Linked DNA regions of Coturnix japonica. The protein of the gene in region 1 purifies or fractionates together with the protein of each later gene. This does not show direct contact. Links are inferred from orthologs where the notes say so. Each region holds a gene or a part of one and is shown in the gene's direction. Other genes may lie near its edges.

The links.
Region 2: the proteins of SLC7A14 (region 1) and GOLM1 purify together in Homo sapiens (co-immunoprecipitation; 3 studies listed by BioGRID and IntAct, with this or other methods). This does not show direct contact. The link is inferred for Coturnix japonica from reciprocal best matches to the Homo sapiens genes SLC7A14 and GOLM1.

Annotation. Positions count from the first base shown.
Region 1 is NC_029524.1:17,484,343-17,488,173, forward strand, and holds part of SLC7A14 (probable cationic amino acid transporter), read left to right. Parts: intron 1-506; 5' UTR 507-586; coding exon 587-890; intron 891-3,695; coding exon 3,696-3,831. UniProt on the Homo sapiens protein: Imports 4-aminobutanoate (GABA) into lysosomes. May act as a GABA sensor that regulates mTORC2-dependent INS signaling and gluconeogenesis. The transport mechanism and substrate selectivity remain to be elucidated.
Region 2 is NC_029547.1:36,934,378-36,937,186, reverse strand, and holds the end of GOLM1 (Golgi membrane protein 1), read left to right. Parts: intron 1-479; coding exon of another isoform or gene 480-602; intron 603-1,881; coding exon 1,882-2,006; 3' UTR 2,007-2,057; downstream 2,058-2,809. Other genes in the region: NAA35 (N-alpha-acetyltransferase 35, NatC auxiliary subunit), read right to left, coding at 480-602, 2,088-2,228, 2,459-2,526.

The DNA of each region.
Region 1 (3,831 bases):
GCATATTAAAGAAAAAATATTTCCTTTTTTTCCTGTGTATCAGTATGCAGAGATTGTCAGTTCTTGGTGTTTTTCTCGAAGTCATCACACATCACCAGGGGGTCATTTCTTCTTGCCTGGGAACTATGCAGTCTGTTAAAAACAAGAGAAAGACAAGGAAAGAAAAGGGCTGTGTCTGAAGAGTGCCTGAAAGTATAACTGACGAGGAAAAAGCATGAGCTAATTCAAGCTCTTGGAGCCAATCTTATGACTGGGAAGGTGTAACCACCATGTAGAGCAGACTGGCTCAGGCAGCAACATTTGGAAGTATTCAGAGAGGTGACCTGATGTGCCCCAGCCCCTCATGGCTGCCCAGGAGCATTTTTGGTATTTGTTAGGCACTTGGAGGGTTTCAGGTTCCTGCTGTGTGGGGGATGATATTGATAACTTACCCCCTTGGGACAACACCTCTCCCTTTGCTGTTTCAGCTCAAACAGACACTGTGAGACCTTTTCTCTTTCTTGCAGCTGGGTTGCCATCACTGGAGAACTGGCAATGCGGCCGCAGCCCTGAGCACAGATTCAGCCTGGGACACCCAGCAGCAGCCATGAGCGGCCTCCTGTCACGCCTGGACCCACGGCGGGTGCCATGGGGGGCTGCAGGCCATGCTCTGCGCTCCCGCGTCCTGCGCACCAAGCCTGTGGAGTCAATGCTGGAGGGCACAGGGACAGCAGGAGGACAGGGCACACGGCTGGCCAAGGTCCTCACCACGCTCGACCTTATCTCCCTTGGTGTTGGCAGCTGCGTGGGCACCGGTATGTATGTGGTGTCCGGCCTGGTGGCCAAGGAGATGGCAGGGCCTGGAGTCATCGTGTCCTTCATCATCGCTGCTGTCGCCTCCATCTTGTCAGGTGAGTCATTCTAGCAGGTTTTGAGTGTGGTCTTGGGTACACTCTGGCTACCTTCATGGCTGAACAGCATGCCAATGACCAGCACTGGTCTCGTGATGTTGGGAATATCCATGAGGAGATGGCAACCAGGACAGAGACATCACAGAGGGGTAATGACATCTCCTTACGCTGAAAACCCCTTTTGCACTGGTGTTCCCCACCTGGATGGGGTGCCCAGGTACGAGGAGCCAGCAGGACGGTGCAGGTGGGGCTGAGCCCTGCAACTCCTCTGCTACCTTTGGAAACATTCTTATTGGCTCCCGTTCACTCAGGATCACTCTTTGAATTTCCAACAAAATAAAGTAAACAAAGCAATGTGCAGAGAGGGAGGAATTAAATATTTCAGTGAAAAGTCAGCGAATTGCCTCCCGTGAACCCAGCTGAGCATATGGCCTGAGCTGCAGTTTCCACATAAGCCAGTACTGCTGGCATTTGTCCTTTCCAGATCAGCGCTAACATGATGATGTGATGCCCCCGCTCTCCCCGCTCACAGGACTTTGCATGCTGTGTCAGTCTGGCAATCCAGCTTGCGTGTGTGGGCTGGACAAGGAAACCTGACTCAGTGACAAAGGACTTCAATGCGGGATGGGAATGACCTGACTTTACTTTTCAAGTCCTTGGATTATTGTGCTTTCCCCATTCACCACAGCCCATTTTGTGATGCAAACCAAATGAAGTGGAGCAACCTGGGTGGGTCCTCTCTGAGAAAACACGTTGTCCCCAAAAAGAGCTTTTTTCCCCCAAGCTGTGGGCCCTGCCCCACAGCAGGGAGCTCCTGCCGGCCCCACAAGCTCTGCCGCTCCCAGCCCTGCTTTCATCTCCCCCCTGCTTGTGCAGCCCTGGGAAAGTGTTTTCATTATCTCCTTGGCCACTTCCTTGCTTCATCATTGACACTGCTGTTGTTTGTAACAGCAGCGCATTTTTGGCAAGTGAAACCCAGTAAGGGCTGGGAGCCGGACAGGCTGCAGTGGGGATTTCAGCTCTCACTTCACATCCTGCAAGTGTGCATGGATGGATTTTAAGGAGTTGCTCTGGTTCACAGCTCGGGCAGATATCCACATCACCTGTGCTCACCCTTGGTTATCAAGTCAAAGCCCATTACCTGCAAATTAGCCTAGGGTCTTTGGATGAAGATGCTCCTTCCAGAATGTAGTGTAGATTGCTGGTGCTGAGAGGGGCTGTAATGCTCAGAAGTGGCTGAGAAGAGACGAGACCGTTGGTAGCAGACATTCCATGGAGGTCAGGATTTCTTTTGCATCAAAAGGGGAAATGGCACCTGCAAAGAAGAGATGGAACTTAGCAGTGTTGCAAGGTCCTGGTTCCACAGAAATTTGGGAATCATTCTGGGAAATGGGAATGCCACTGAGTTTGATGGCATTGGGGTTTGTCACAGCCATATGCACAGAGTAACATTCAGTTATGAAGCTTTATTATCAGTACTACACTACAGATGGAGCTGAGATTAGTAAGAGAAAATCTATGCCCTAATAAGTTATATCATCTTCCTTTTTAAGCCATGCATACAGAGGGGAGTGCTGTGAACTCTACTTCTGCTGGAGGACCTGTAGAATTGTGAATTAAAATGCCATTATTAATGCCACCTGCTATTAACTCAGTGGCAGTCAGGTATGAACACAAGTTTTGCACCTCCCAGCCCCCCGGACTGCTACCACATGCTATGATAAAGATTGATTTATTTCTTAATATACACTGAAACCTAAAGCAGATAAACCCTACAGGCTGCAGTATACAATGAATAGAGAAAGATGACGATTTTGGAATCCCTGTAGAGTAATTGGAAACTCAAACATTTTATACATACAAAAATATCTGCTCTGCCATTATCGCCGTGCATCAATAAGAACCCTCTTCAAGCCTTATCTTGTCGTTGGCTGAAAGTACTGCTGCCAAGAAAGATTATATGATTTTTAAAGCTACCAAAGACAGAAACCAGACACTTGTCCCCACCAGAGCACCTGTTTCATAAATCATTCAAGCCTGCAGTTATCCGTGAATGTCTTACCTTTGCGGAATGCATGCATTTTTAATCAGCTTTGAATAATGACTGTGTGGGACTGGATGACTGGGACATCTTGTTGCTCTCGTAGCTGGGCCAGCCCTATAGAACTCCAGTTTGGAAGAGTTGTGTTGAAAACTGTAGCTAGGAACAAGGACCCCACCAATGCGGTCCTGCCAGCACTTACCCTGACCAACACCCTGAGAATTTCTGATTTCGTCCATCCACAACTACTTAATAAAATCTGATGGTTGTTTCAAGATAGCAGTGTGTTAGGATCAGGATTTTATTGAAAAATACCCTGATGTAGTAAGTCTGGAAAGTATTAAATCCCATTGAAATCTCCTCCCAAGCAGCTCCAGTTACACACTTTTCACCTCTCCCCTTTCTTTACAGTTTTGCAGTTAATCCTCAGTATGAGATCTACAAGCAATACTTAAGTGTTAAAATAACTTAGTTCTTTGTGAGAGATGGCTTTAGACTCATCTGGCATGGCTAGAGTGAGAGCAGGATGAACAGGGCAGTGCTCATACATGCACCTGCATTGTAGTGACCCAGAATATGCACACAACATCTTAAGAGGAAACAGCACAGAACACATTAGCATCTCTATCAGATGAAGAAGGAACATCTGTCACCATCAAAGCTACTGTATGGAAATAGGGTCACCACGACCACACCACCATACTGCCCACAGATGCTCTCTGTGGATGAATTTTAATATATAAACATTTTTTCTTTCCAAACAGGTGTTTGCTACGCTGAGTTTGGAGTGCGGGTCCCCAAGACCACAGGCTCTGCCTATACTTACAGCTATGTGACAGTGGGGGAATTTGTAGCATTCTTCATTGGCTGGAATCTCATCCTGGAGTATCTGATCGGCAC
Region 2 (2,809 bases), on another chromosome or scaffold:
TATACACTGGTCCAAACATTAAGTGTTTACAATCTAGAACTGAAAAAAAACTGCTGCCAGATTCAAATCTACTTTCTAGCCATTCAAACTAATTTTTCTCATCTCTCAGGGAAAATTATCAGGCTTCAGATGAGCTATGAATGCGTGGAAGTTAACTTCCTGGTAAAACTGGTATGTTTTTCAAGTGACACCAGCAGGTATCATACAAGAAAGAACTATGTTGCTGCCTGTCCTTTAAGATATTCAGCAGAGAGAAGCCTTGGAAGCATGAGCACAATCCAGATTCCATTACTAAATGTGATGAACTGCTGTGTAAAATGCCACCACACTGCTCTGATCAGTCCTTAATAAAAATATTCAGCTTTACTCAGCATTTTTGAAGAGTACATGTAAGGGTACCCTGGATCTCAAGCAAACTCATTCAATCAAACACATTCTGTCATTAGCAACCACTAATTTTTCTAGTATTTTAGTCTTACCTCATGGTCTGGATTAGGAATATTCTCAAGAATCATTTTAGCTTGCTGGAAGTGTTTGCTAGCTGCCATGTAGAGATCTGCTGATTGAGGAGGGGGGCTGTACTTATTTAGATCGGACATTTCCTAGCATATTAAAGAAATATATAAATACATGTTAAGATCAGTTGCCAAAAAGTTGTATTTTTATTACCCTGACTGAAGATGATTGTGTTGAAAAAGATAACGTTAAGAAAAAGCAGTAAAGTTAAAAACATTTATTTTAAAAGGCAAATACTAAGCAGCAATACATTGTTTAATTGTCACTGTGTACTGCCACAAGATGTTGCTATAAAGTGATACCTGTTCACAACAACTTGCCATTCATTTGATTATTTAGTCCTATGCAGTAGGGAATAAAATTATAGGGAAAAAAGGAGCAAAAAAGAAAAAAAAACAAACCCAAAACATGAAGCCAAATGGATGTAACAGTATTTACTCAAAGAACATTTAAGACTCGCTCTACTCAAATCTTCACTTTATAGAATTTTGAAGCTTCAGCTATTTTTTTTGAGAGTGAATAAAAGCTTCAGTGACAGGGAAGAAGCCATGTCTTAATTTCCACAACAGCTATTCATGATAATACATTAAGGAGTGTGGCTGGCATGCTATATATTACAGTTTCAGTGCCAGATAGACCTGTAAAAGCTTAAGAAATTGGCCAACAGATACCTAAGCTCAACATGAAATTTTGAAATTGCTGTAACTGAAGCAGAATAACCCCACATAGGACTGGAGTATACTCCAGTCACCAACTGGAGGAGGAGCACTGTTGCAGCAAACACTGAGCTGAATACAAACCAACCGGGTTCTCTTAAGCTTCTTTGTGATGGCAGACTGGGAAAGACCATAAACTGCAGCTTGGGAGATTTAGACTGAACATGACAAGAAAATGCAAATAGTACAGCCCTGAATCAGGTTATCCACAGACTAAGTGGAGAAGAAAAAGTAACAGGACCAGGTTTTCCAACAAGGAATGTGTATCTCTGTATTTTTTCTGGACTTGACTAAACACAGATACAGCTGGTCTGATCTGTAACACTACTTAGGATGAGACTGAACAAAGGTAGACCTCCACATATCGTGCTTCCAACCAGTGCTTCCATTATTTAAAAGTGAAATCTAGTTTCATCCTTGTTTCCTTTTCCTAACTATTGCTGTAATAAAAACATTCTACTAGACAAACTACAACAAAGAAGTCTGTCAATGGACTTTCAACAGACTTCATTTTCATGCAAATCAACAGAAGCATCTTAAACTGTGAGAGTAGATCCATTTCCAACTATCTAAAAGTCTTAGTAAGAATTTAAAACAGATTTCCTTGCATACAACTAAAAATAGAACTTCCTGCAATTTTGATTTAAAGAATTACAGAACGTCTTAAGCTGGAAGACCATAGAGCCACTCTGCAACCCTCTATCAAGAACAGGAACACCCTATTACTGTCTGAGGATGCCCAGGTATGCCTTAATACAAACTCTGAGATATTAAGAGCTCTTTTTGTAATTACAGTAGTGTCTAAGTAAAGGATTAGTGACAAAAGCATGAGTGGTGCTGCTTTTTTAAAATTACCTTAAACTGCAGGTAGTGCACTGGGGGTGGTGTTATAACACTGTTGAATGGAGCAAATCTGTGCTCATACCGCACCTGTTCACTATCCAATTCAAACTTTGGTTTTCTTACTTTGCCATCCATGTCAAATGCAATCATTGTCTAAAAAGGACAGGATAGAGTACAGTGAGAAGTGTTAGTTTTACACTGTCTTTTGCGCAAGCAAGATAAAAGATAGTCTAGACAGAGGCAAAACAAGTAGAGAATTTACTATACCACATTAAAAACCTGAATTTCATTTTTAGTTCCACTAAAAATAAAGATGGCATGTAATCTATACTTTATTCTCCTTAAAAAAGAAGCCACTGATCAATAGAGCATGTAAAAATTACCTTGTACATCCCAGCACACATGTTTTGGTATGCTTGGCTCATAGTGATCTCTCTGCTCAGAGGGCGAACTGCAAATTTTAGATGAAGAATTTTTAAATTCCATATAAGCAAGAGAACTTATTTCAGATTATTTCCAAGAGTGCTGTTCAAATATGACATGTGTCACTATATTATATGAGCCAAAACGCTCATTGTGAATTACTCCTTTTCATTAAACTGCCACTTACAATATACTGCTTGTTGAATTGCATATATTCTAGGAACAATGAATCTAACATATTTCTCACTTTCTCAAGTAAGTTTTCTCCCCCCTCTTGCAGTATTTGTAAGCTTCCATGCAATTACCAAATA